4 linked regions of the Struthio camelus genome follow. The protein of the gene in region 3 interacts with the protein of the main gene of each other region in a biochemical or structural test. Links are inferred from orthologs where the notes say so. Each region holds a gene or a part of one and is shown on either strand. Other genes may lie near its edges.

Region 1 (7,188 bases), on a different chromosome or scaffold from region 3:
AAGTAACTCTTGAGGACGATTGCAGACAACTTACAAGGTAGCAATTTTTAGGAAGAAATGAGCATGCACCTTCTGAAAACAACAAGTCTCTTTCATATCTTTCAAACTGAGCTTCCAAATACGAAGGCATCTAAGGTGATACCAGATGATAACCTGTCCCTTCAGAAAAGCATAACCAGGATTTCCAAACACTAGCCCAACATGCCTTATCATGCGACCTCACATGATCTTTCCTCACATACATGTGCAGAACATTCCTTCAAGATACTAGAGAGAAAATGCTCATGAAAAGGAAAAGAAAATAAGGTATCAATCCTCTTCTAATGTCATATACAGGATTTTTTTTTTAAATAGCTATGTTTCCTAAATCTCCTGTTTCATTCAGGACTCCATTCCCTAGCAATACATTTTTAGATATAATTTTGAGCATACAGTTGAAGCAAGAACATAGCAACTACTCCACAGTTTTTTGTGACCCAGCAACTACTCCACGGTTTTCTGCGGCCTGCAGAAGTCCTGGGAGGTGTTAGCTGGTCCTGCAGGTGTTTTTCTATCACAGCGAGCACAGGGACATCTCTGATGATACATGTCAGGAAAACAGCGCTTTCAACAGTGAAACACTTTTAAACACTGTACCCATAAGCTGTCATTCAGAGTGAGGAAGCCTCATGGTCTACATACACCCTTCATGGTCAAAGTATTTGGGTTACATACCCAATGATGTAACTGAATTCCTCTGCGATCTCTGACAAATGATTTAACCTCCTCTGAAATGAGGGTATGAAACAATATCAGTTCTCTATCATACTGTACAGAGTTTTGGCATGCTTTAAATCTGCAGCACTCCTTGCAGTGTAAACTACTTCTCCATGCGAACATGGGTATCAGAATTTGACCCTTTGTGGTTGCAGAGCCCCTTGAGAGTCTCAGACAGAAGTACAAACTGTATTATGGATAGCTTCAGATTAATATCAAGAACTGAGAAAAACCACATGTCACAACACCGATCTCCAATCATGTACAAGTTAAGTATCATATTCTTCTGTGATTATTTCTGGCAACACTGTGATCCGTTTCATACAAAGAATTACATACTACTCAGATATTTTGGCATAAATCTAAAAATATCACAACTTGCACCACGGGCTTCCATTTATATTGTTCACTTGTTCAGACACTTACCCCCCAAAATAGACTCTTTTCTTAAGTAGCCTCTGTTTCTAAAGGTCCCGTTCAACTTTGGTAACCATATGAAAAGGCTTACACCAGAAAAGAGTATTTCCAAAATCATCACTCCCATCCCATTTGTATCATTCTCATCCCATCCCGTCCCCGACATGGAGCTTCCCTCTGTTTTTTTGGAACCAGCTAATGTCTCACTGAAGGCAACATACTCAAACCAACAGCAGCAACATCCTCAAATGCACCACGTTTTTGGCCCATTAGCACAAAGGGAGATCCACTCCCCACTGCCCTGCAGCTCTGACCTTTTCAATTCTCTGCCACCAAAAGCTTATAGGATCTGCCGGATCCATCTGCGACTCCACCTGGCCTGCTTTCCCACGCCAAAAGGACGGATCAAATATACGTGTCTGAAAACACATCCCTGCTTCCTCTTGGCACCACCCAGGAGGTACCCTCCAACTCAAACTGCACCGCTTTAACACGAGAGGAAGCCTGCAGCAATCACCTGTGCAAAACCCTTAAATCCTCGGAAATGACAGCAAAATGCACTTCAGCACCTTGGACAGGACACAGGCACACACACACGCAAAATGGGGAAATCAGCAGAGCAGCCCTGAAAGTGTTGAAACCGCACATGACCCTACAGGACACATCTGCGGGCCTGTTTATTTTTAGTATTGACAAATCCTCTTTGAATCGCAGTGTTTATGACCGGTCTTTCAGGAAGAGTTGTTGGTCCCCCGGGAGGTGGGGGACATGGGGGCCACCAGGTTCGCTCCCGGCACCCGTCTCCGGGGTCAGCACCTGCCCCGGGCACAGCTGGAAAGGCTCAGCTGAAGCACCCGCTAACCTCAACTCCTCCTTTCCAGGCAAAATGAGACCTGTTGCTGTGCGTGTGTCGCCTGTGTGCACCTCTGCTTTTTAGAAGCTCATCTCCTCCTCCTCCTCCTCATCCCAATCTCCCAGGGGGAAAAAAAAAAATATTCCCATTGCAGTCACAGTCTGGTTGCGTAAGTTTTGTTTTAATTCAGATTTCGTTATCTCGTACGGTGCTCCGAGTATGTCCCTGTTCCCCTCTAGGCTGTCTTGATAAAATCATGATCACCTTGCCAGAGCGCAGCACAGCTCTCTGTGCTTTTCTTTTATTTGTACAAGTCAAGTAGAGTTTTTGATTTGGGCTGGTTAAAAAATCCATATATTTAAAGCAGGGCCTCCAAGGGGCAGCCCTTTGAAGTGAGCGACATATACACATAATATATTATGTCAGTTCTTACAACAAATAATATCAGTAATAGTCTTATAGAAGAATGATAAATTTTCCTTGCCACCATGGAAATACCCCCCCGAATTAATTTCTTCCCTTCCCAATGTGCTACTAAATTTCCGTTCAAACACATCTGCTACCACATTACATTCACCAAACTATTTGCTGAGTATCCTCCGTGTTGTTGCTATTGTTATTATTATTACTATCATTATTATTATTAATTATTATTATCAGCGGCAGTTTCAGATGCAGAAGCCCGAGGGAAACCAGCTCGACTCGCAGCAAGAGTTACCCCTCAGCAGCCAAACCTCAGCCTTAGCACCCCGGGGGGCGAGCCTGGCCGCTCCGCCGGCCGCTTCTCGCACCTGCCGCGCCAGCCTCCCCGCCACCCTCCCCACGCGGGACGGCCCGAAGCGGCACCCGGCGAGGGGCGCGGGGGAAGGGGAGCGGGACGCGGCGCTACCGGCTCTCCCGGCTAGCGGGGAAAGTTTGGGTCTCCAAGCAGGGCAAGGGGAAATTCCTCCTCCTCAGGCACGCTTCGAACCGGACTTCTTCGTGGCGTCCTTTTTATTAGCGAACAAGCAAAAAAGAGGAACTTACATTGGTTTATTTAATTTTCCCCGCTAAACCAAGAGTCCCAGATTCACTTCATTGTATCCACAGAGTTTTAGTCCCCGCGTGAGCACTCCCCGCGGCCAGGGCCATGGTGCTCGGTGCGCTCCGCGCCGCGGCGGCGCGCCGCTGCCCTCCCCGCCGGCCGCCGCCGCTCCCAGGCTGCCCGGCTCGGCGGTGCCGCCGCCGTGTGCTCGGTGCCGCCCCGCGCAGCCCCGCGCAGGCGGGGGGAGAGCGGGGCGGGGGGGGAGCGCGGGGCGGTGCCGCCGCCCGCCCCGCCCCGCCGCCGGCACCGCCCCGGCCCGGCCCGGCCCGCCCAGCCGCCGGCACCGGCACCGGCATCGGCACCGCGGCGCCCCCTGCCGGCCAGCGGCGGCGGAGCGGGGGGAGGAACCGGGGGAGGAGAGGGGGTGGGGAGCGGGGAGGAAGGAGGGAGGGGGAGGAAGGAGGGATGGGGGAAGGATGGGGAGGAAATTGGGATGGGGGAAGGATGGGGAGGAAGGAGGGATGGGAAGGAAGGAAAGGGAGAAGGATGGGGAGGAAGGAGGGATGGGGGAAGGATGGGGAGGAAGGAGGGATGGGAAGGAAGGAAAGGGAGAAGGATGGGAAGGAAGGAGGGATGGGGGAAGGATGGGGAGGAAGGAGGGATGGGAAGGAAGGAAAGGGAGAAGGATGGGGAGGAAGGAGGGATGGGGGAAGGATGGGGAGGAAGGAGGGATGGGAAGGAAGGAAAGGGAGAAGGATGGGGAGGAAGGAGGGATGGGGGAAGGATGGGGAGGAAGGAGGGATGGGAAGGAAGGAAAGGGAGAAGGATGGGAAGGAAGGAGGGATGGGGGAAGGATGGGGAGGAAGGAGGGATGGGAAGGAAGGAAAGGGAGAAGGATGGGGAGGAAGGAGGGATGGGGGAAGGATGGGGAGGAAGGAGGGATGGGAAGGAAGGAAAGGGAGAAGGATGGGGAGGAAGGAGGGATGGGGGAAGGATGGGGAGGAAGGAGGGATGGGAAGGAAGGAAAGGGAGAAGGATGGGGAGGAAGGAGGGATGGGGGAAGGATGGGGAGGAAGGAGGGATGGGAAGGAAGGAAAGGGAGAAGGATGGGGAGGAAGGAGGGATGGGGGAAGGATGGGAAGGAAGATGGGATGGGAAGGAAGGAAAGGGAGAAGGATGGGAAGGAAGGAGGGATGGGGGAAGGATGGGAAGGAAGGAGGGATGGGAAGGAAGGAAAGGGAGAAGGATGGGAAGGAAGGAGGGATGGGGGAAGGATGGGAAGGAAGGAGGGATGGGGGAAGGATGGGAAGGAAGATGGGATGGGAAGGAAGGAAAGGGAGAAGGATGGGGAGGAAGGAGGGATGGGGGAAGGATGGGGAGGAAGGAGGGATGGGAAGGAAGGAAAGGGAGAAGGATGGGGAGGAAGGAGGGATGGGGGAAGGATGGGGAGGAAGGAGGGATGGGAAGGAAGGAAAGGGAGAAGGATGGGAAGGAAGGAGGGATGGGGGAAGGATGGGAAGGAAGGAGGGATGGGGGAAGGATGGGGAGGAAGGAGGGATGGGAAGGAAGGAAAGGGAGAAGGATGGGGAGGAAGGAGGGATGGGGGAAGGATGGGAAGGAAGATGGGATGGGAAGGAAGGAAAGGGAGAAGGATGGGAAGGAAGGAGGGATGGGGGAAGGATGGGAAGGAAGGAGGGATGGGAAGGAAGGAAAGGGAGAAGGATGGGAAGGAAGGAGGGATGGGGGAAGGATGGGAAGGAAGGAGGGATGGGGGAAGGATGGGGAGGAAGGAGGGATGGGAAGGAAGGAAAGGGAGAAGGATGGGGAGGAAGGAGGGATGGGGGAAGGATGGGGAGGAAGGAGGGATGGGAAGGAAGGAAAGGGAGAAGGATGGGGAGGAAGGAGGGATGGGGGAAGGATGGGGAGGAAGGAGGGATGGGAAGGAAGGAAAGGGAGAAGGATGGGAAGGAAGGAGGGATGGGGGAAGGATGGGAAGGAAGATGGGATGGGAAGGAAGGAAAGGGAGAAGGATGGGGAGGAAGGAGGGATGGGGGAAGGATGGGGAGGAAGGAGGGATGGGGGAAGGATGGGAAGGAAGGTGGGATGGGAAGGAAGGAAAGGGAGAAGGATGGGGAGGAAGGAGGGATGGGGGAAGGATGGGAAGGAAGATGGGATGGGAAGGAAGGAAAGGGAGAAGGATAGGGAGGAAGGAGGAATGGGGGAAGGATGGGGAGGAAGGAGAGATGGGGGAAGGATGCGGAGGAAGGAGAGATGGGGGAAGGATGCAGAGGAAGGCAGGATGGGGAGGAATGATGGGGAGGAAGGAGGAATGGGGAGGAAGGATGGGGAAGGAAGGTGGGATGGGAAGGAAGGAAAGGGAGAAGGATGGGGAGAAAGGAAGGATGGGGAGGAAGGAGGGATAGAGAGGAAGGAAAGGGAGAAGGATGGGGAGGAAGGAGGGACAGGGAGGAAGGAAAGGGAGAAGGATGGGGAGGAAGGAAGGATGGGGAGGAAGGATGGGGAAGGAAGGTGAGATTGGGAGGAAGGAAAGGGAGAAGGATGGGGAGGAAGGATGGGGAAGGAAGGTGAGATTGGAGGAAGGAAAGAGAGAAGGATGGGGAGGAAGGAGGGATGGGGGAAGGATATGGAGGAAGGAGAGATGGGGAAGGATGGGGAGGAAGGAGGGATGGGGGAAGGTAGGATGGGGAAGGAAGGTGGGATGGGGAGGAAGGAAAGGGAGCAGGATGGGGAGGAAGGAGGAATGAGGAGGAAGGATGGGGAAGGAAAGCGAGATGGGGAGGAAGGAAAGGGAGAAGGATGGGGAGGAAGGAGGGATGGGGGAAGGATGCAGAGGAAGGAGAGATGGGGAAGGATGGGGAGGAAGGAGGGATGGGGAAGGAGGGATGGGGGAAGGATGAGGGGGAGGGTGGGATGGGGAAGAAGGAGAGATGAGGAAAGGATGGGGAGGAAGGAGGGATGGGGGAAGGATGGGGAAGAAGGATGGGGAAGAAGGAGAGATGAGGAAAGGATGGGGAGGAAGGATGGGGAAGAAGGATGGGGAGAAAGGAGGAATGGGGAAAAGGTGAGGAGGAAGGAAGGATAGGGGAAGGATGGGGAGGAAGAAAAGGCAGGAAGGATGGGGAGAAAGGAGCGATGGGGAAGGATAGGGAAGAAGGATGGGGAGGAAGGAGGGATGGGGAGGAAGGATGGGGAGGAAAGAGGGGTGGGAAAGGAGGAGGAAGGGAGGATGGGGAAGAATGGGGTGGAAGAGGCGTGGGAAGGAAAGAGGCATGGGGGAAGATGGGGAAGGACTGGGAAGAAGGAAGGAGGGATGTAGAGGACAGGGAAGGAGGAAGGATAGGAAGGAAAGAGGGACGGGTGGATGGAGGGATAGAGTCAGGGGAAGGATGGGGGAGGAAAGAGGGAGGGGAGGAAGGAGGGCTGGGGAAGAAGGAGGGCTGGAGCTGTGGGCAGCCTGCAGGGGCTGGACTAGGCAGCGAGGAGAACCACCCGGGTTTGGGGTCAGAGGGAGCGGACGGGGCCAGAGGGACAGAGCAGGGAGGAGAGGCACTAGGGGAGCCAGGGCAGGAAGGGAGCAGCCTCGCAGGGGAGAGGGGGACAGGGGTCAGGGGCAGGCACCATGCGGACCTGCTGCTCCCCGCCATGCCGCGGGAGCAGCCCGGCGACTCCAGCTCCTTGGCAGGGCGCCTCGGGACTCAAGGAGCAGATGCGAGGCTGGGTTTTGTTCGGCTGCATTTTTCTCAAGTTATTGAAATTGTAAAGTTTAGGCTTTGATTTAAAGTTCCCAATGAACAGAAGAAGTGGCTTTTACAGAAACTGAGCTGGCATGGGGAAATTGCTAAGGTTCTCCATGCGGGGAAAAACTACTGCTTACAAGACTGAGGGTAAAAGGCAGGAATTCAGTGTCGATGTTCACGGTGGGGGGAGGTCAGCAGCAGAGTCCCGGCAAAACCATGCCACACCTTGCCTTCTTCAGCGCTCATGACAGGAGGTGGAGAACGGGGTGACAGAGTTTGCTGTCACTGTTGAAGTATTCGGGGTGGTAAAATGAAAATAAACTCGTGAAGAACTGTAAAAAGACCTCACAATACTGACTGAGCAGGATAAAATAGTGTCT
Region 2 (7,407 bases), on a different chromosome or scaffold from region 3:
ATACTTGTCAAAATCACAACCCCAAGAGCAAGAAGACAAGCTTTGAACAATGGGAGAAGAATGTGTCTTCAGTCTACACACTCATTACCTCAGTTTTATAATTCAATGAAAACACGACTACTTTTCCCCTGTGAGTTTGATCCCATTTCTGCAACACATAGTAATTTCAGCTCTACTTCTACACCACTGGCAACAAAGGGGGGGGGGGGGGGGAGCCTCCTTACAACAGCAAGATTGGATTTTTGGAAAAAAAATAAATAGAAGGGGAAAAAAAAGGGAGGGGAGGGGGGACACCTGCCCAGCTGCCTGCAATGCTGCTAATAAGGACAGAAAGTAGGGCTAACAGCCAGCAGCTAGGGTTTGGGCAGCACAGCAGGCCTGCTGGAGCAACCACATGTCAGTGGTTGCCGCTACTCCCCGGACAGCCCTCCTCAAACACTGTTTTTCCAGTTCTCCAACTGAAAACATCTCTAAACATCCTGTGTGAAACAGCACTTCCAATGAAGCAGTGCCAAGAAATGCTTACACAGTTGTCAAAAGCTGTGTGCTTCGCAGAAGCAGTGAACGATTCCTAAAGCTAACTTTAAGGGTAGATTTATAGCTAGTGAGGTTCATTTTAATCCTTTCTCAGTTTTATGTAAAAAATTATTAACTTGCAGAAAGATGACATCTCCTAGATCCTCAATTTAAGCCACTGCAGACATCGCTTCAGCTGAATTTTTCACTGAAAAAATACTAAAGCTTTTTGACTAGCAAATAGCTAGAATATACTGGTATTTGATGATCACATGCAGCATAGGTAGAAGGGTGGCATAATGTTGCTGAAGCCCGTGAAAGCCTGGCAGATAGCATACAGAACTTTTTTTTTTTTTAAATTCAGTAAAACTTTTCACATGCTATTAAAAACTTACTTCAGAGCACAAGCCCTACAGTGGAGCCCTACTATCTGAAGACTAAGAAATGTAAGAAACTGTAAAGTAAAATGCTCCAGTCAATCTCTGAAATTTCAGGAGGCCTATCATCTCACAAACACAGGGCTCCTCTTCCTCTTGCCCCCTTGTAGAATAAGAACCTACAAATGTGTATGGGGTAAAAGGAACCTTTTAAGTGCTTTCCTAAAACTTGAGAAATTTTAAATGGCTTTTGTGGGTGCTGCTGAACAATCCACTGCAACACCCAGAGAGCAATAAGATGGATGATGTGAACAGTCAAAAAAAAAAAAAAAAGTCACGAACACTGCACACTTCCTTTTTCACCTCTAGCAGAACTGCTTTTGGCATAACTACTCGTGGCAGCACAAGACCCCTGCAAGAAAAGGTGAACAGAGCAAAAGCAGTGCTGCACTGCTAAATGGCCAACCCGTAGTTTATCCCATTCTGCCTGGATTTCCTAGCAAAGTTGTTCCTAACATGGGCACCCCAGCGCTAAAAAAAGAAATTACAAGTCAAACTGCTGAACACAGGCAGCTCAACAAAAGCATGCAACCTGTTTTTTGCACACAGTACCTCCGAGGACATTTCCTTGACCGAAAATGCGTTTAGCTAAAATCGGTCAGGGCCTTTAAAATCCCTCCGCCTTCTAGAAAGGATCCCTGCAACTGCTCACAGCTGCTTTTAGGATCGGAGACTTTGGTGTTGTGTTTAAGAGGCTTCCAAACACAGGGGCCTCACGCACCATGCCTTCTCTTCCTTCTCCACCAAGTACTCCGGCACATGCACCCGGAGTTCAGGCGAAGGTGAAGCAGGGTAAGTACGTGTAGGTACCTGTACCTCTGCACCTGTTCTCTTCCAAAGGGGTCCTGCTAAGATGGACAAGCTTGATACTCCCCCTTTGCACCTTGCATGTCTTCTTTCCTTACCGTATTTCAATGCAGTGAAACTACCAGACCATGATTCCTCCCTGCTTTGAGTAATTATGCGCATCTGCGCCAAAGCCAATGACAGTAACAGAACAAGCATTAACTGCGCTGCCACAGTAGTCATCTGGTCCAGCATAGAAGTTACTGGTTTCCGAGTATGCTTGCGTAAGCGCCCCGTTCCCCGCCTTTGCTCTGCGACACCTCAGGCCCCCAGAGAGTCAAAGCAGAAGACTGCCCTTACACTGGGAAATCCCTAAGCAGACTACGCAGTTCAGAGAGAAGAGAGGAGAAGAAAAAAAAAAAAAAAAAGACTCCGACAGGGAGATCAGCAAGCGCTCTCGAGATGAGCGGTACCTGCCGCCGACCCGTTATGCGAGCAGCGGCGCGGAGCCGCCGGCGGCAGCCGTGCCGGAGCCGCTGCCAGCACCGGGCACCCCGGCGCGGAGCAGGCTCCCTGCCCGCCGAGGGGATGCAACACGTGCTCGAGCCGAGCTGCAGGGGCACCCTCGGCCCGGGGAAGCGGTATCAGACCCGGGAGAGCGGCGGCGGGGAGGAGACGTGGGACCGCGCTGGCAGCCCCCGCCTGCTCCCAGCGGGGCTTCCCGGGGTGGTACCGGCGCGCCGGAGACGCGGCTCCCCGCAAGCGGCGGGTTAGCAAGCTTTGACCTCAGGAGACCTCGCCTCGGCGGCGCCGCTCCCGCCTCCGTCGCCGGGAGCCACCTGCGGGCGAGGGGCGCTCCGAGCCGGCGGCGCTGACACGTGTTAACCCGCCAGGCCTTCGCCGAGCCGCCTTTGCAGAGTCACTGCCGGGAGGCGCCGGCGCTTCCCCCCCCGGGGCGCCCGGACCCTCGCGGGAAGCCCGAAGCGGAGTTGGGGGGGGGGGGAAGGAGAAAGGAGGCGGCGGGCCCCCCGCGCCGGCACTCAGCATCCCCCCGCCGGCCCCAGAGCCCGGCGGGAAGCCAAGGGGCGGCGAGGCGGCAGCGCCAAAGTCCCGGCGCGGCGCCTTCCCCGCCGGCGGGCAGCCCCGAGGCCGCACCTCGCGGCGCTGCCGCCGCCCCCCCCCCCCCCGCCTCCGCTCTCGCCCTCGGCCGGGCGCTCACCAGAAGAAGAGCCGGGAGCAGAGGTTGGCATCCCGCAGCGGGTTGGGCTTCTCTTCACGGGGCACCGCTTCCATGCCGCCCGCCAACCCGCCCGGCGGCAGCGGCGGCGCAGCACCACGGCCGACTTCCCACCGCGGCAGCCACCGCCGCTTTGCCGCCGGCCGGCGCTGTTTCCGGGAGAGCCGACACCCCCCCACCTCGTCCCTCCCTCCCGCTCTCCCGCCGCAGGACGCCTCCTGCCGGCCCGGCTCCCCCGCGACGCCCGCCCCTGTGCGGAGACGGAGACGGCGGCGTGACGGGTAGTTCCGCAGGGCCGCGCTGAGGCGACTGCCGCCCTCCGAGACGGCCGGGGAGCCTCCCCGCGGCGCTGCCGAGGTCCCTCCGCGGGGGAAGCGGAGCCTCCCCTCTCCCTCCCGCGAGGCGCTGTCGCCCCTTGAAGGAGCCGCTGCCCCTCCCGCCGTTGAGCGGCCGTTGGGCGGCCGTTAGGTGCCTGGGCGCGGGCCGAGCCCTCGCGCCTGAGGGGAAGCGGCCGCCCCGGGCGGGTTTGGGGGGGAGGGGGGGTGCTCCGCTGTCCCCTCAGCGGTTGGTCGCCTGTGCGTGCCTGAAGCGAGTTCACTTTTTTTGCCCTCGTGGCCCTCGAATAAAAGGCTGTAAAGGCCGCGAGAGTTTGTTTTGTTTTGTTGTACTGAGCTAAGGACATCGCCCTGTTTGTCACGCTGTCGCAGGCTGCCGCCGAGTGATAGTACCGTCTCCAAGATCTCTTCGGCGGTGCTGTCTGTGAAATGCTGCCGCCGTGCCACGTTGTTGCGGGTTGAAAACGTTATTGTCCTCTCGGCGCGGACCGCACCAAGCAAGGCACCCGCAGGCCTGACTAGGTGGAGAAACAAGCCGCTAGTGAGGAGCAATTGCAGCCTCGTGGGACTGACCTGCCAGAAACACTCGTTTCCACCTCTCCTTCCTAAACATTGCAGCGACTTGTATTAAAACACACACACACACACACACACGGGGGATGTCCATATTCCGAATTACAAGAACAAGGGCACTGGGGCAGCATGAGAGCAGCCGGATGCTGGTCTGAGTCTGCAAACCGGTGCTATCTGCAGCTCCAGTGTAATGATGTTGAGGAAAGTTTGGTGGTACAAAAAGTACCCCCAGAAATAAACCAGAATACATACACACACACACACACACAGACACACACACAAAAAAAGTAGTTATTTAATTCCAAGAGAAGGTGCATCACAGAAATCCTTGAAGCCCTTCTCAGAAGTTGGGTGCGATCGTTGTCAGGGCGGACGATGGCCGTACTCCTCTCCGCTGTTGTCACTGGGGCTTGCCGCAAGGGATGGGCCTGCAAGCAGTGGAGGGGACTGCAAGAAATCTAAGATAATACAAAGGTGAGGCACGTGTCTGAGGATAACCAAAAAACTATTCAGCTCAGTGAAAAAATACCAGGCAGAGTAGGTGTCTGCCATGCCCTAATTTCTCTGCGGCCTCCCAGACCCCTTTTCCCTCCAGCTGAGCCAGCTGCAAGGCAAGTCTCCTGTTTATTCATCTTTCGCCCTAGGAGCAACCAACCCTATCTCTTCCTGCTAAAATGGCTTATCGGTGAAATAGTTCCAGTATCTGATTATCACTATAGGTACATAGAGTTGGCACACGGTGAAGAAAAAAGAGGGTGGTAAGGTCTGGGCTACACTGTGCCATCCAAGAAACAGATTCACTTCACGCTTGCAAGGATGTCATAATAACCATAACACAAGTAAATCAAGCGTAAGTTTGCTATCAGTTGATAGCGAGGGAGAGAGGTGAGAGAGTTGGCAACAAAAAGCGTTGGCTGAGCATACTACAGGATTTTGCAAGCGATAGGTAGTACACTTCTCAGCACCTGCCTATAGATCTGTCTGGATTAAAACAAAGAAATACACTTAGGGAACTGGTGCAGTGATTTGCAAGGGCAGGCTTTAACAAAAAAGTGCTTTGTGTATTCCAGAAGAATTAACTTAAGTCACCTCCCAAAACATCTGAAGACAAGGTCTGTCCGTCAACAAATTCTGGCAACCTGGGTTTAGATTTCTGAGAAGCAAATTTGTCTAAACAGATATGAATAAGAGAATAAAAGGCATGACAGCCCAATGCAAGTCCTAAAACTTCAATAAAGTTTGGGTCAAATAGTGGAGGAAAGGAAGATGTAAATCTTTAAACTGGCATCTATTCATGAATCTGAAACAAAATCAAGCCAGATTCTTGCAAGGAAAGATTATCAAAACATTTCTTTGTTTGGACAAGAAAGCAGAATATTAGTCATGAACAAGTAATTTTTTTTTAAGAACACAAGATCAGAAAGTAACTTTTTCCAAGATTATTGTAACGGTAGGAAAATGGCAAAGAACAAACCTCAAGAAGTAAATTTCGTCTTTCCCAGCATTATCGGTGACAATTATTGACAAAATATAATTTTATAATAAATACTGCTGTCAGATTCCCATGTCTGAAACAAAACTCTATAGGAAGGTTTGGAGAAGGGAAAACTAAAGATTTAGCAATGCCCAAAGAATTATAATAAAGTTCAAGAGGAAAAGAAAAGCCTGAAAGCCAAATTAATCAGTAACTCTGTCAAGTGTACAAGTAACCAATGGAAACTGATGCAGCAATAGAGAATTGTGAACCAGTTAGAAACAGTAACAGAGATGCTCTGGAAAAGCTGAGACTGCACATGGAGAGGAGAGAGGAGGGAAAATAGATAGCACAGAGTAAGGAAATTAATCATCTTTATTTTAGGGGAAACGAAAAGCAACTGCTGATTTTTTAGTTATCCGTTGAATATTTTCCTGTGGTAACAATATATTCACGGCATGGAAGACTAAATATGCAAACAACCTAATCGAAAGTTAATATTACATAAATCCGTAATAAAGATATCAGTCTAGCAAAGCCAAGTACTCAGATTAGTCAATGGCCAGATTAAGCGAGTGTCATTTGAATTAAGCCATTTATGCGTATACATTATGCTATGGTAATTGGACGATCACAAGGGATTCCATAAACATACAAACACAAGTTTCTGTATTTATTCAGTATTCAAAAAGGACATATTCATTAAACAAGCCTCTGTGCAAAGCATGGTTTTAAATCCTCTTCGCTGTACTCTCTCCTCGTTCTGAACACAGTCAGAATCACCAGTTTCTTCATATTCCTTTTCTGTGGCACTTACCACTCTAGTATGAGGCGTTCACACACATCTGCTTTTCACAAAACCCTTAAGAGATAATTGGGCAGCTTATCTGCCTTTCAAGTGGTAAAGAGAAGCGTGTGGATCTTAAGGCAAAATATAGCCACTGATTCTGAATATGCAATCAGAACCAAAGGCTTAATACTTCTGAGAATGTAGCACTGTAACCTTTCACAATCAGGCAAGCGCCCATTGATTTCGGCTGAGAGGCGAACAATTTCTGCAAGTCACACCCCAGCATCTCAAGTCAGGTACCTGGAAAACAAGGACACGTGCCTGAGTGTGTCTTAAAAGTTTGGATAAACGATTTAATGAGCACACTACATGATATCTCTGAGGCAGTACTAAGGGCAGAATCAGATTCAAAGCTGTTTGAAAGACTTCAGAGGCAGTAGTTTTCTGAAGACAAGCTGTCGTAGCAGACTGTGAAAGCTTTACCACAGTGCATTGTTTAACTTTTGATCGAAGCCAGGCAGAAAGACAATCCATATGCTGCGTGACAAACCAACTAGACAGCTCCGTTTCCTGCCATGCCATGGGCAAGAAAGCAGGCTGTCCGCTGGCTGGGAGCCCAGCTAGTCACTATCCAGTCTGTGGCCTGACTCATCGTCTCGCTGACGTACTCAGTGAAGAATAGTTTCTCATGCTCCTGCAATACGGATAGATAGGCCTGTTCTTGTTCAGCTGCAGAACAGAAATGTCAGTGGTGCAGAATCAAGCTGTAAGTAGTTTGCTGTTTCCATCTAGCTATTAGTATATAATAGCAGCATTTTTTCTCAGATACTTTCTCTTCTTGTTGCTCTGCTAGCCATCTCTATTCTCCCCGTATCTTTTAACTACCTGTATCAGTTTTCTACATGCCATAGTTTCTAGTTTACACTAAACGTAGGTGCCTACTGCCGCTGTAGATATGGTAGGATATTCCACTTGGCTGCTAGCCACCACTTCAGAAGGCTTCAGGTCTTCCATAGCTTCTGTGCTGTATCTGCCAGTCCCATGCCAATGTCTCAAGTGCCTTTTAAATGGCAATAGATATCTACGTTTAGGCAACTGAACCCCATCCTTACCATCATCACTTCTGAATCAATATGGGTTTTAGGCCAAAGTCCTCTCCATCTTTCACTGCAACATCAAGTCATTTTGGCCAATAAGATTTTTCCTAAAGAGCTCTTAATTTCCATTCACATTTTTCTGCCTACGTGTCACACCCACAC
Region 3 (7,277 bases):
TCTTCAGCATTACCTCACCTGGGGGGCAGCAAAAATCAATGGGACCCACACTTGGCGCCAGCGCATAGCTGAGGGCTGGGGATGCTGCCCAGGGCAAGGAGCAGAGCAGAGCACCCTGCCCTCTCTGGCAGCCCGCTCGCATGGGGCTGCCCCAGGCAGGCTCCCTGGGTTGCACAGGGCCAGGACACGGAGCAGGGCCATGCCCAGGTCTCAGCAAGCTCATGACACAACCAATGTGTGCAGCCAGGCCAGGGAGCCTGCCGCCGCCCCGGCGTCCTCGGCCTAACCGCAGTCCCTGTGGCCTCCTAGGTGCAGTATCAGCCCCTGAGCTCCAGCCACGTCCCTAGAGCAGCCCACTGCAAAAAGCCTCCACTCACAGCGCAAAGCACAGCTGCTGTTTGCACCAGAAACCAAGGGGAGGCATTTCTTCAGTATTATGCAGACGTTGTCTCTTTGGCATAACAGCCTACTGCCTCGCACCCTCACCCAGGAAGAGGGAAACGGGAGCCAGGCCTGCGTCAGCCAGAGCAGGCTGAGTCAGCACCAACACCAACCCTAGGGCTGCACGCCGCTCTGCACAGCACCGGCCCCATCCCACCCTCGGGCCACCACCGAGAGCGATATAAGGCTGTTGAGGCTGGAAGGAGAGAAGCAAGAGGCAATTCTGTGGCCTCAGCCCTGGGGCACTCAGGCATTTTGCAGTAAAGAGTCCTCAGACAACACAAACTGCCCTGAGGGCTGGGACCAGGACTCCTGGGGCCAGCCTATCTGAGCACTCCTGCTCTGCAGAGCTGTAACACCTAAGCTGTTTTCACACTCTGCTCAGTACGCGCTTCTGTGGTAAACTCTGAGGTTAAACTACAAGAAATTTATTACTTTTTAATGGGAAAGTGTCACCACCCCAGTTAAGAAGGACCAATGCCTTCCCTCTGCAACAGCGGTGGTCACCTTCAGAGCTCTGTGACCAGCTGTAATGGTTTATAGCTCCCACTTTGGATTACTGCCACTTGTTTTTCACATATTTTTTCACTGCAAAAATAAAGTTTTAACTGAACCAAGTAACATTTCTCCTTTCCTAGGAGAGTCACAGAGGTAGCGATAACTTCGCAGCCAAAGGATTATCACAAAGGGGATTTTACACTTCCCAAAAGGAAGCACTGGCAATCTCAGGCATCCCATGGTGGCAGGCACAGCAAGCAGCATGAGAGAAGCAAGCTGGTGTTTCGATCCAATCCCAGCAGACGGACATCCACATCGCAAAGTCTCCCTACATTGGGCACTTGTACAGCTGAAGCGGAAGCAGGAGGTTGAGGCTAAATTCTCTCTGGCCACCAGAGGCGAAGCCACGTCAGAAGGTAAGATTCATACCACCACTGCCTATGGACCACCATGCATGCAAACTGGCCTGCTGTTACATTAAATTACAAACTCTTACCCATGCACAGGGATGGACCTTTGCCCGTGGTTGACTATTTAATCCTTCTTTCACTGAATTTCTAACAAGCTCAGAGCTGCATGAAAAATAAACACAAAAAGAAATGCAATCCCTGCCCTATGAAGTTTTCAGCCTAAAGTTCAGGCAAATCACCAAGGAGCACAGAAACTTGGGAGGGGAGCACCAGAAAGGAAAACAAGAATTACAACAACAAGGCTTCCCTGCTGCTCAGCCCTCCGAGACCGGACATCTTCAAGCTTGAGAGTGTTGTTTTAATGCCCCAGCTCTTAAGAAGTACTCTGTGTCTGCAGATCCCCAAGGACCTTACAAAGGTTGCAATCATTTTCTTCATTCTGCCGACAGTTTAAAAGGGACATTTGTCAGCCCAACAGACATAGGGTCACTGAGGAAACCAAGACAAACATGCAGAGACCTCTGTTTGATGCAAAGAGGCAGCTTTTCTGTAACATGGGTACCCTATGCGTCCCATCTGCTTCTTCAGACATCTTCCCTACCAGGAAAGTGCCAGCGTGTGCAAAGTCGCAGTGGGAGAAGAAGCTCTGCCAGTCCTGGCTTACCAACAAAGGGCTGTGAGCACCACCCTCCAGTGTCCCAAGCACAGGAGAGCAGAGCCCTGCTCCTGGCTGGGGGCTCCTGAGAAGCTGGTCTGTCACCCGGCCTCCCTCCGGCACTCTGTGCACTGAGCTCTCCAGGAGCCGTCTGCCTTTAAAACCCAGCTCTTAGAGCATGCAGCAAACATCCTTCAGGCCCTTCGTACTCCAGCTGTCACACCTCCCACCTTGCCCTTGCTCATCTCCTTTTGGGGTAAGTTAAGAGACTGACTGAGGCGTGAGAACCCCAGTTCCTCCCCAGTGCAGAGAGATGAGCTCGGCTCCTGGATATAGTTTCCATTCAGTGGAAACGCGGAGTCGAGCTGCAGAATCCAGTCTTGAGAAGGGGACGGCAACAGGTCGCTTCCCTCGAAATCCCCGTCTCGCAGCCCTCGCTGAAAACGCTCCGCTCCCCCACGAGGTGCATCACCTCTGCTTCCGACTTGGAAGGTCAGACCCGCGGAGCAGCCGCGGCCCGGGGAGCACAGGCGTCCCAGGCTGCCAGGAAGCCGCGCGCCCGCGCCCGCAGCTGCCGCGGCCCCGCGCCGGGCGCCCCGCAGAGCCCGGGAGGGCGGCGCAGCCCCGCGGCGCTGCCGCGGCCCCGGGCTCCCGCGCCGCCGTCGGGGGCCGCAGCCAGGACCCGCCGCGCCGGGCGCTGCCCCGGCCCCCGGCCCCCGGCCCTCACCTTTGATGCTGATGCCGAGCCCCCCCACGTCCTGCTTGACGACGCGCACCGTGCGCCTGATGTTGGCCAGCGCCTCGGGCACGGCGGAGCTGGGCTCGCCGCCGTTGAGCTGCGCCGGCGGCGCCTCGCCGGGGCCGGGGCCGGGGCCGGGGCCGGCGGCGGGGCTCACGGTCAGCACGTCCTCGGCCAGGGTGAGCAGGACGCGCAGCCACTGCCCGCCGGGGCCGCGCAGCTCCAGCAGCCCGGTGCGCGGGGCGCGCCTGCCCGCCGCCATCTTCCGCGCATGCCGCGGACCGCCGCCGCTGCGCCGCCCCCGCCGGGCCGCACGGCTCCGCTCGGCGCGGCTCGGGGCACCGGGCACAGCGCCGCCCCGCCGGCCTGCCCCTGGGCCGCCCGCCCCGCCCTGCCCGCCCCGTCGGGCTCGGCTCGGCTCGGCGCAGCCCGGCCCCCCGGCCGCCTCCCCGGCACCGGGATCCGCCTCCTTCGGGCCACGGCGGCGCCCCGACCCGTCCCGTCGCGGAGGGTCAGTCCCGCGCTCCCGGTGCGCCCCTGGGGTGCTTCCCTGCCTGGCCCCGGACGTGCCCGGCGTCCCCCTTGTTGCACCCTGCCCCGAGGAGCCGCAGAGGGAGCCAGGCCCCCGCGCCGCCCTTGCCTGGCCCGGGATGTGCTGCGTGCCCCCATCCTGCTCTACGTCCCAGGAAACAAGGCAGGAGCCAGGCTCAGGGAGCTGCTGGCTCAGCCCTTCCTCGCCCGGGGAATCGCAGCCCCCAGTGACGGGTGCCCACGTGTGGCAGGATCCGGCCACCCGGCGAGGCCGAGGGTGCCTTGGAGGCTCCTGCTTCGTGCAGCAATTTGCACACCATGCGCAAGGTTTCTAAAACACTTTTGGCTTGTTCCCAGGTACCAAAAGACCTACTTTCAAGGAAGTTTGTATGCAAGGCGCAAAGCGCTCTTGAAAATCTGGCCCAAGCAGGGGTGGGCTCTCGGGGGCTGCTGAACCACCCGTTGGCTCTCTCGCTCTGTTGAACTTGAGCAGCAGATTTGGGACTGATGCTGGAAGCACTAGATGACACTTTTTGGCCTAGATAATGTGGCGTGTCAGACTAGATGATCACAACGCTGCTCTGCAGCCCTGAAGTCTGTGCATCCCTCAGCAGTGTGGTGGCGGAGCACAGCACGACTGCCGAGATGTCTCTGAGTAAAAGCTTGTGACACTCTGTTATCCTGAGTTATGTTTTGCCCGGCAGAAAAGTTTGCATGGGCAGATTCTTCTTCGTGTCATCAAAATTACAGTGCTGCGCAGGGCGGCGGGTAGGGGAAGGCGGCGGGCAGCAGATCAGAGCCGGGCGTGATTCTGGGGAGCAACATCCCCCAAAATGGGGCCTGCTCTTGAAGCCTTTCCCTGCATTGCTGCTCTGGGCCAGGGGAGCTGCCTGCATCCACCCTTGTGAGCGACGTGTTGCCCCATATCTCCTTTCTGTAACAAGAGCAACAAGGTGCTCTGGGGTTGGCACCTTCTGACAACCCCTACGCAGTGTCAAACAGGCAAGAGGTGGAGGCGAGAGGTGTTAGGACATCCAAAGAAGTCTCTGTTCCTTTTTCCTTGCTTGTCCTGGTCCTTGAAAATAGGAACGATACTTTGTTTCATTTTCTGTAACCTGGTGGCAGCAATTAGAAAACACCTATTGGTCCACGCCCCCCCCCCCCGCACTCCCTTCTCCTAATGCTTTGTGCAGCTCCAGATGTCTCCAAGCATTGGGGCTTCCTAGCTCCCTGAGCTCTCTTTGCTACAAAATACAGAGGCTTAAAATAATGTAATGGTCTTTTAAGGAGGTTGGAGAGGGTACAGAGGAAGTGGGTGTAGTGGGGGACTAAGGGGCGCTGCTCCTGGCCGCCAGCTGCGCGTGAGGCGGGAGAGGCTGCGGGCGCGTTGCTCAGCGCAGCCCTTGCCCTCTCGGTGCTGGGGCTGCGGCCCATCCTGTGGGTCAGCCACGAGCGTCGGGGAAAACCCGCTCCCTCCGCTCTGCTCCCCTCCTGTGCAGAAGTGGTGGAATTTCTCGAGGTTGCAGCAGAGGAAACCCTGAAGGTTATTTCCATAGAAAACAAACATTTCAAATATTCCAGTTTTCTTTCTCATAAAAGGTCCGGAGTTTGGCTTAAGTGACTTTTCGTTTTGCATAACAGCTCTGCTAGCTGTAAAGGTTCCCCTTTGCGTCAGGAGGTGCTTTTACGGGACCGTGTCACCCACCCAAAGGTATTTGCTTATGATCACGTCCTCTGTGTTGTACCGTTCGGCCACACAAGCCCCGCTCTGGCTGTCCATGTAGCACAATTTGTTTACAGCAGAGGGGAATTTTGTCCTTTTGTCCTCAAGGCTCTTTTTCCCTGTGCCATCAGTGCTCCAAGCACTCACTTTATTTGCCAGACAGTCAGCTGCAATCAGCAGTTTGTCTGATTTTTTTTTTTTTCCTTCCCAGCACTGCTCTTGTTATTTCCAGCATAGGTGATTGTTTAAGGCCATCGTTCCCATTTGAAGCGACGGAGGAAACTGTAAATACTGCTCTTAGTGTTGCATAATTGCAACATTGGGGTCGTTTTCTTTGCTTTCTCAGCTCTGTGTCTGCCTGGCAGCACGGATGCGACGCTTGAGCATGTCCTCCATGCAAGGAGACAATCTGGATCCTGTCAGTGCCACATGGAGGGAAAATCACTGTCCTTCTCCATCCCTGCTGCTAGGACGGATGAAGTCTGTGGCCAGGTGGGACTTCACCTACCACACAGCAACTGCCCCCCAACAGACACAGCCAGACTAACATGCAGGCACTTAGGCAGCCCCAGCCCCGTGCCACTCCTCTCCCAGCAGCAGTTTTGCCTGAATAAAAGGATCATTTACTTCCCCTTCAGTAATGACATTTTAATAAAGTCCTCTCAGTTACACAGGTTCCTGCCCTGCCCTCAGCTGCAGGAGCCTTGAGTTTGCAGAAACGTGTGCCATACCCTCCCCTATCAGGAAATCTTTCTCCAGCCTGAATGCAGAACAGCTTTGTCAGCACTGAGCACGTGCAGACGTCAGCGCCAGAGGAGAAGGACTCATGACACCCACAAATCGCCAGAGGAGAAGGACTCATGACACCCACAAATCGCCCACCGAGCGTCACGGTGGCTGCAGACAGGGGACCTGCTGGCCCAGCTGCACTCAGGGCTGGATCTTTCCTTCAGGAGACTCCTAAAGCCGTTGCTATTATGGTAGAAAGATGATCATACGGACACCTTCTGCTACACATGATCAGAGGACTCCCTCTCTCTTTTTTCAGCGATTTAGTATTCCTTTGGCAATTATATCAGGTACTTATTGATGGGACAGTGATCTAAGTATTTCAGATGCTGGTTTCTTCTAATGCAAATCAGGACCAAAAAGGGCCCTAAATGCATGTCCTGAGGGGCAGCTCAGAACTGGAGACCCAAAGGAGATAAAAACTGCCACTCCTAAAGCTGTTTGTAGATCCTACACGATTTGTGGCAGAAGCTTGGATCCGGAGCTCCCTTTGCTTTTGCTTTTTGCAAAAAAGGACTTGGGATTTTTTCATATGACCACAAGCAGTCAGTACTATATATAGCCTGGGTTCACCTGCCCTAGAAGTGGGCAGATGTGCAGACACGGTGCCGCAGGAGGAAAACGTGACAGATTGGTGAGCGCGAGGAGGAGGGTCCTCCCTTCCCTTCTGCCCAGCTATTGCTGCGTGGCCGGGCTTTCTGCAAGGATTCAACGTTTTTACACTGTGTCTCCCCGACCAGGGGCCCCCTGTTCTTCAAGGGGCCTGAGGAAATGATATGGGAGGACCCATCATGGGGGTCCTAACTCTGGAGGCCCAGCTTGGGCATTGGGTAGGTCAGCAGGCTATCAAGAGGGATCAGCAGGTAGATGGACACAGCGTTCGGGGTCTAGGCTTTGATCTCCGAAGACTCAAATCGTTTGGTGTCTCCTCAGCGTGGCTGGGGTCAGGTGAGTGGTGCTGCAGTACAGGGAAGACGGACATGCCGGGATGCTCTGCGGGGTGTTCACACTTTTGGGACTACCTTCCTGCACGCCCGCTCCCCCAGGCATGCTCTGAAGCCCATCCTTTCTCACGCAGGAGACTCCCACATTTTTAGGGACCCCCTTTGTGTCCCAGGCCTGTGGTGAGCTATGGGAGATGCACCCAGTGCCCTGAAGGGTCCCAGGCTGCACCTTTTTTTTGATATACTGTGAGGCATTGAGAGAATTAGCCGCAATGTCCTGCTGCAAGAAGGACCAACGGCCACGAGTTTGATTGACTAATGCCTTGGCTCTGGGCCAGGGGCCGGGGGGGCCAAATCTGGGCTGCCTGGCACACAGGAGTGAGTCGCATGCTTCCAGGCAGGTCAGCATCGGCTGCAGGCTGGATGCAAAGATGCTGCTCTGCTGGCACGGCTGCATGTGTGTTTCACCTTTCAGCCAGCACTCGTGACTGCGTGCCTGTATAGCACACTGGTTTCCAGCATTTCTGAACCGACTCTCCGGATTCCC
Region 4 (7,416 bases), on a different chromosome or scaffold from region 3:
GTGCCTCCAATCATCACCCTGCAAATAACTTAGCTACCTTAAGAGTGGAAAGTGAATGATACAGGCCAAAGGAAGATGCCTTTTTTGGATTTAATAGCGCCTGTATTTATGTTGTGTCTGACCATGAGGCCCCTAAATGAACACGAGTGAATGCTTCAACCTTCTCTGTGCTCCCTCATCCTACTCACCCCTCTCTAACCTCATAATTATTGGCTGCCAGCAAAAATATGTAGCTCTCCTCTGTCCCTGACTATGATGGATGTCCTATTTTTGGCCTCACTGGGTTGCTGCCACCGTTTAATGAAGCTACCAAGTTCAGGAATTTTGCTATTAAAGACATGATGTCCATCACTTCTCTGATTTCCCAAACTGGAACACGAGTCCAGATTTAGACATGCCTGCCAAATGAACAGCCCAAAAACCTACTGTAAAGGAGCAAGCAATGAACATCGCATGGATGCTGGTACCTTGCTACCTCCATCTGCACAGCCATAACTGCAACTGAGCGCAACACGTGTCACTGGGCCTACCAGGCTGATCCTACCGGGCTTACGCCAAACACCTATGCTTGGTAATACTTAACAATATTAACGTCCATAACTCTTGCTCCTCCCCAGCCTTCAAGAGCAGCAGCTTTTGTTCCATTTACTTAACATTTTACTCTATTAATTATTCCAGTGCTTCAACGGTAACTCATACTCTGCAGTTGGCTCTATTTTCTTTACTCTGAAGAACACTATTCTTTCTAAAAGCAATTCCTCAAGAACAGTACCACATTGCAACTGTTCAATAAAACCGAGGTTTTGTTAACTTCCGATACCTTTGGTCTCATACCCGACAACAAGGTTTCCTTTCCTAAAATTGCCTTTTCATCTTACTGGCAAAGCACAAAGGACCAACACTTTGGTCAGGGGCCTGCATCAGCCACATACGCCCATGCTGGACTGTGCAGTGTTACCATGCGCTAATTACACGCTCCTACCGTTTTGACGAGAGACCAGGACATATAACTAGGGAACAGCATCTGCCTGTTCACAAAAGCTCTCTGCTCACCCCGTAAAAAATCACGCAATATTTCCCCGTGATGGAGTCAGCAACAGGAGGCACCAGAACGATGCCTGTCTAGTTAAATTTAGTTCTTTGGGAGTAATAGTTTTGGTGTATATTTGGACAATAAAGATAAGCAATTTTCTACCCATCAAGTCCCTGTGCCATTAACTCTTCAGTAATGCTAATGGAAGTACTGCACGAGGTAAAGCTACAAGTAATAGACCACATGGTACCACAATTCATTGCGGTGGAACAGTAAAATGACAAGAATTTGTATTAAAACAGAAGAAGCTTCCTGTTACTCCCTTCTGGTAGAGATTTTATTTTTGGCCAAACGTTTTTCTGGAAAATAACTTTCTGAACTACTCTGTGGGAACGTGCCAGTTTATGCAGAAAAGAATATCCAGTGAATCCTCGTTCACTGGGAGAAAGGGAGAGAGTGGCTGACTGAGAGCACCAGTCATCTGACTGCAGCCTACTACCGCGTCTGTTTTCCAAGAAAATCTTGTAGAGGTCTTAATTTCCCAAGGGCAGAGAGCAGTGATTCTTTTCCAGAAAATTCCATGAGAGAGCTGGGTCGGGTGAGTTTCTGCCTCCTGCTCTTGAATTACAGAAACCAAACCCTTTGTTCATTCAGCTCCATTGTTTTTTAGTTAAAAATCAGCCAATATATAGCTTTGTAAGGTTTCACTCGCCTCCCATAAATCAAAATACAGCTTTCCATAGACTTAGCAATGCTTTGTACCAGACTCCTCAAGTGCCACCGGAGTCAAGAGCCACTTGGAAACAGGCCCTCACTGACCTGTGTGGATGGTGAAAGCAAACACTGTAACGGGTCCAAAATTCAAAGTGTGCTTTATGCATCTTCCAAGTGCTACTGAAGCCTGACATAGCTGTTTAGCCACCAAAAAGAAAAAAAAGAAATTTTGATTACGTATAGGGTAGAGACGGTAGCTTGCACTTGCGCTCTCTCTCTCTCTCTCTCTATATATATATATATATACACATATAAAATTGAGTCTCCAGGGAATTGCCACCTGCCTTTATACAATGAGCCCTGCGAAACCGTGATACTGTTACCAGCGTGATGTAGCTTCCCCACCAGAACCAATGCAATGCTCATTTTAAACTTAGCTCACACCACTCACTAACAAGCCAAATTGTTACCCTTGGTCTTCACGATTCTTTACAGACTTACTCCATGGCTTTTTTTTTTTCTTGTGATAAAGAGAAAAAAAAAAGGCGGGGGGGGGGGGAGAAGAAGCTTTCGGAGGCAGCATACGAGTACAGAAGGCACACTGCAATTATTTACAATCTTTTGTACTGCTTTGGTATTTATTACAGAGAACGAAAAACAAAAAAATCTGCAAAACTGAAAGACAGGCTTACGGCCCGAAGAATGTGTTTTGACAGTAAGGTAGAGCACCTCAGGAACAGCTTCTCGGCTCCCTGCCCCAATCACCCCTCAACTCCCACCAAGCGCCAAGCCCCGTCGAGAGACCCCTTACAGCCGCCGCGTGTTTTAAGCCAGGAAGTGCCCCGGTTCAAGGGCTGCAGCAAACGCCAACCGGACGGCCCCTTCCTCCCACCCGCCGGAGGACGCGGGCTGCGGGCTGAAAGGGGGCTTCCCGGCCGGGGTGCCCGCTTTTGGGCAGAGCGCCGGGCACCAACGTTTCGGTCTCGCCCGGGCGCCTCAGCCCCGGCCAACCGCCCCCCAAACCGCCGCCGCCGCCCCGGGCTGGCGCCCCGCCGTGCCGGCGGCGCTGCCCCCGCTCCCCCCGCCCTCCCTTTTCGGCCCCGCCGCCGCCGGCCCCCGCTCACTTTCCCGCTCTCGTCCACCCCCAGCAGGTGGCCGTGGAGGATCTCCATGGGCGCGGCGCGGCGCGAGTGCACGAAGGTGCCCCTGAAGACGTGGGCCAGCGGCGGGTGCTGCGAGGAGCCCATCGCGGCGCCGGCGCTGAGGAGGCTGCCAGCTGCCGCGCAGCGGGCTGCAGCCGCTCGATGTCTCTCGGCACCGACAGCGGCTTCCTGGACCTGTCAACATTTCCCCACCCCTTCCCTTCCCCCCCGCAAAGCTTCTTGCCCCGCGGGGAGTGGTTCCCGCCGCCGGCCGGCTCCTCCCGCCGGGCGGGTGCCCGCTGAGGGGAGGCGGTGGCGGCAGCCGCGGCCGCCCCGCCGAGGCCTCTGCCCCGGCGGCCGGGCGACCCCCGTCCTGCTGCCAAAACAGACAAATAGCGCCAGCAGGCAGGGGACAGGGGGCAAACTCGGTGCTTCCTGTTGCTGACGCACATGCGGGATGAGGCCGGCCGCCCTGAGAGGCGCGGAGCCCTGGCGCAGCCCCCGCGGGTGTTTGGTCTCCCCCTTACCGTGGCTGGTTGGTTCTCCTGTTTGTTTTTCCCCTTTGCCCCCCCAGCAGCCCCGATGTCTTCTGGCCTAGTGGGAAGTGAAACAGGCTTGGAAGTCATCAGGAAACACCAAAAATGGAACAAAGCGAGACTTGAATTTTATTGTTTGTAAAGCACGTGATTTTACTGAAACAAAACATTTCTGTCTAGTTCTACGCGTTGCCAAAGTAGCAATAACTAACCAACTTCCAAAGGGAAATCAGTACCCTTGAAAGCAGAACTTTTGCATGTTTTCTTCTCAGGAAAGATAACGTTATCACATTAATAACATGGCACAATACACAGAAATGTGGATTGTGTGTGTTTTCCCAGAGCAAGGTAGCTTGCCGTGGACTTCTTACAAAGGTACAAGCCTGTAACAGATGTTTTTAATAAGTGTGTTTCATTTACAAAATAAGGAGCTGCAGGCTCACAAGAGAGAGTTCTTAGGAAGACTGACAGCTACAGAAACAGCATCAGCGGTGCTTTCTGAGCGCCTCTGGCTTTTTCCAGGAAGTGATGACAGACCCGATAAGATGACTCACAGTAGTTAGTATATCCAGTGACTGATCTTTACAACCAAACCAAAGGCTGTAACCAGCTTCAGAAGCTTCATTTACAGGGTTCCTTTGGTTAGGCTTGCAACTGCAGGTGTTGCCCTGCGCCTGGAACATTATTGGACAATTTCAGAATAGAGCTAATCTTAAAATACTATAATATTAAAGGTGTGTTTCAGGTAGATGGTAGTTCCTGCCCCATCTATCCATTCTGCTGTACTCAGTACTTAATCTCTCTCTTACCACAGATTGTCTCCTAGGTCCTCTGCTCCTATGCTGTACATTAGTAGGATACAGGAGCAAAAAATCGATGCCAGCTGAAGCACTTCAGCTACCAGAAGAAAGCAGCCAACTGTTTCATTCAGCGGAGAGGGTCTATAGCAAAGGAGAAAGAAGCCCTGGGAAAACGAAAGGGAGAGAAGAATGAAATTTGTTAACTCAGAGAATTGCTCCAACAACTTAAGTTAATGTATATTATATATATACATTATTTATAATTAGGTGTTATTTACGTAATATATGAACATGCACTAAGATGATTTCTAGGGAGAATATTTGGATAAGAGTTCATGGGACATAGTAAAACCCTTTTCTTAATGTGAGAAAGCCAGAATCAGGGGTAACACTATGAATGTCCTGCCACTGAAAGTCACCTTGCTTCATCAGATAGAAAAGTGGTAAACAAAATTGCCATCCAAGGCTCTGGTACTGCCATTTTCAAAGCTGGATTACCAAGTTTATTATTACATAGTTTATCATAAAAGACCTTTGCCCATCCCACTGTGCTGACACTATACAAACATAGCAGGAGATAATCTTTCCTCTAAGCTTTCCAGATAAGTGGAGGGAGGAGACAAAGACACAGTGGGAAAGCACAGAACAAAGGTAATTTTAGTCTGCTCAGTGCACCTCATCTACCTTTGTTGTGCCATCTTTGAATGAGAATACTTCTAGGTTCACGTGAAGTAAATTAAAAAAAAAAAAAAAGTGGATTTACTGAAGCCAGCTGAAAGCTCTTACCTTGACTTCACTAGTGGTTCCGTCAGGCCATAAACAATATCCAGAATAAAATGGATAGGTGAAAGTGACTCTCACACTCTAAGATTGTTCATTTCCTGTGAGAGGTCTCATAGTTCAAGAAGATGCTAATAAGTTTTTTTTTTTTTTAAGAAGCTGCAATTTTTCACTGTATTTCTAATCTCTTTGACATGAGAAGCCAATAAAACACAAATTGGTCTTACAGGTTAATCTAGTTCGGAGAAGAAATTGCATGAGGGTCTTTCTTGCAATTCAGCTTGCTTACAAGATTGTAATACTTCATGCTTCTTTGAACAACAGAGTAATACAACAACACTGGATAGTTTCCTAAAAAATAGCACCAAGTGTCTTTTAAGTTAGCATTTACGAAAGCTTTCTTATAAGGACATTTCTCAGAGTAACACTACTGTGTTTATCAAAGCAGCAGCTGAAACCACTTTTTATCCATATACCAAGTTGTGATCCCAGGCAGCTGAAATGGTATTTGGCTGCCTTAAGAATAAGAAGCGAGAGCTAGGCTGCTTTAGCCATTAAATGCAAAAAGGTAGAGGGAGTGGAGCTGCAAAACAGTCAAACAGAGAGCCCTGGAGAGGTAAACTTATCACTCTTCCTCCCGACACAGGAGCGAGGACAACTTTCCCCAGCAATAGCTCCTGCCCTTTACACAGCTTGGCTCTGCCCTTGCAGCAGCAACTAGCCTCAGCTCCCAGGGCAAAGGAGGTAGCGAGGCCCCAGGGTATGCAGTCTTCCGCAGTATGCTGCCCTAGGTATCTGCGCTTCATTCACACTCACATCAGGCTACGTGTGGCTCTTTGCTTCTCATCCTGAGGTCTTGTCCTGGCTGCTGCCCAGGTCCACGTGGCCTGCTGGCCAAAGCAATATTCAGCAGAACTCGTACACTTTTGCTAAATCGTTATTCCTGAGAAGCCCTTGATTTGCATTTGGAGGTGGTGGGGGGATGCGTGCTGCCTCTGAGAATTTCTATGTCAACCATGTTCTTCCATTAGGAATCTCAGGGATTTCTTTCAACTGCCTTACAGAAAGATTGATACTTATTCCAACAGTTTCAGTGAGATTTAATCCAACCAGTATTTTATGCATGAGAAAAAAATCCAGAAACAGTGAAAGTTTCTTCCTTTAGAACTTTTTGGAAGAAATATGAATAATAAAAACTGTTAATTGTCAATCTATTGCTATAAGTGGATTCCAAACACTATGAAGACATATAATTGAACTGTTAAAAGAACTAGACTTCTCTTCTGCTTTTCCCAGCTGTGAGAGAGCATGTGAGACTCTTAAGAGGGCTGATGAAAGAACAGTTAAAACCCTTTCCCTCCTCGCAGACCTTTTTTCGTTATTAGCTTGTGAAGCTCACAGCTGCATACCCAAAATATTGGGATGGCTGCAGATGAGACCTCAACCAGCTGTGATAAAATGGGTCAATCTTCCATGATACTATAAGAGGACTGCTCAAAGGTGTGCTTGGTTTGTCTGGGGTAGAAATTGAATGGTTTATGATGATTGTTGGTTACTATTTAACTTAAAAAGTAATTGTAATAGCCTGCTCTTAATTTTGCTAAATGGTTAATGGTCTACAGTGAAAGATATAGCTTCTTACAAATTCCTTAAGAAGGTTTTGTTTGACTAGCAATTTAAAACAAATCCCAGCTTTAGCAGCTCTTTGAACTCATCGCACCTGGATTAACATGTTCATATTAAAGTAAATAATCACCATACTTTGACCCACTGCTGTTCAAAAAAAAAAGTCTATTTCGTTGTCTTTTGACTCAGTTTTAGAAGTTAAGTGAAAATCAGGTCTAGTCTGAGTTCTGAAGCTGAGCAACAATAGAAAATTTAGTCAAAGTATTTTTAGAGCATCAGAATAGATTTTAGCAGGATTAGAATGTCACCCTAAATTCTCATTAACTGTTCCACTTTTTGATATTTTCTTTCATTTGGTGGACTTTACAAAACAAGAATTCAATGCCTTGTTTTCAAAGTTTTGGAGCAACTCTGTTCATCTAGTAATACGTGAGAAATGTAAGAAAGAGGAACCTATTTTTAATTCCCTGCTTTCAAAAAACAATTAATAGGTACATGCCACCCAGTGGAAGCTCCTATCTTCAGGACACTGATAAAATACATGCCAGCAGAGCCTGAGCCTCAGGGTACAAAAATTATTGATCTGATATAGAAGTTAATGTTGTTATTTGCATTTGATTACCAAAGTATTCCTTGTGAATATTTTGTAACATAGCAACTAAGCCAATGGAGAAACAAAATAAAATTGATTTCTCTTTTATTGATTGATTTTTATCTGAAAATGAAAGCACTAAGTAGGTAGGAAATACTTGGGGCTGTTCAGAGAATGAAATAAAGGGCAGCAT

What was found.
Region 1: the proteins of alpha-1-syntrophin-like (region 3) and sodium channel protein type 5 subunit alpha interact in a test that uses a peptide from one of them, tested with the Homo sapiens proteins (2 studies listed by BioGRID and IntAct). The link is inferred for Struthio camelus from reciprocal best matches to the Homo sapiens genes SNTA1 and SCN5A.
Region 2: the proteins of alpha-1-syntrophin-like (region 3) and ABCC4 form a complex in vitro, tested with the Homo sapiens proteins (2 studies listed by BioGRID and IntAct, with this or other methods). The link is inferred for Struthio camelus from reciprocal best matches to the Homo sapiens genes SNTA1 and ABCC4.
Region 4: the proteins of alpha-1-syntrophin-like (region 3) and GDA interact in a test that uses a peptide from one of them, tested with the Homo sapiens proteins (2 studies listed by BioGRID and IntAct). The link is inferred for Struthio camelus from reciprocal best matches to the Homo sapiens genes SNTA1 and GDA.

What each region holds. Positions count from the first base shown.
Region 1 is NC_090943.1:7,057,639-7,064,826, reverse strand, and holds the start of sodium channel protein type 5 subunit alpha, read right to left. Parts: upstream 3,122-7,188; 5' UTR 3,053-3,121; intron 1-3,052. UniProt on the Homo sapiens protein: Pore-forming subunit of Nav1.5, a voltage-gated sodium (Nav) channel that directly mediates the depolarizing phase of action potentials in excitable membranes.
Region 2 is NC_090942.1:166,326,384-166,333,790, reverse strand, and holds the start of ABCC4 (ATP-binding cassette sub-family C member 4), read right to left. Parts: upstream 3,140-7,407; 5' UTR 3,033-3,139; coding exon 2,959-3,032; intron 1-2,958. UniProt on the Homo sapiens protein: ATP-dependent transporter of the ATP-binding cassette (ABC) family that actively extrudes physiological compounds and xenobiotics from cells.
Region 3 is NC_090959.1:4,022,355-4,029,631, reverse strand, and holds the start of alpha-1-syntrophin-like, read right to left. Parts: upstream 3,038-7,277; 5' UTR 3,006-3,037; coding exon 2,732-3,005; intron 1-2,731. UniProt on the Homo sapiens protein: Adapter protein that binds to and probably organizes the subcellular localization of a variety of membrane proteins. May link various receptors to the actin cytoskeleton and the extracellular matrix via the dystrophin glycoprotein complex.
Region 4 is NC_090982.1:26,799,448-26,806,863, reverse strand, and holds the start of GDA (guanine deaminase), read right to left. Parts: upstream 3,146-7,416; 5' UTR 2,995-3,145; coding exon 2,872-2,994; intron 1-2,871. UniProt on the Homo sapiens protein: Catalyzes the hydrolytic deamination of guanine, producing xanthine and ammonia.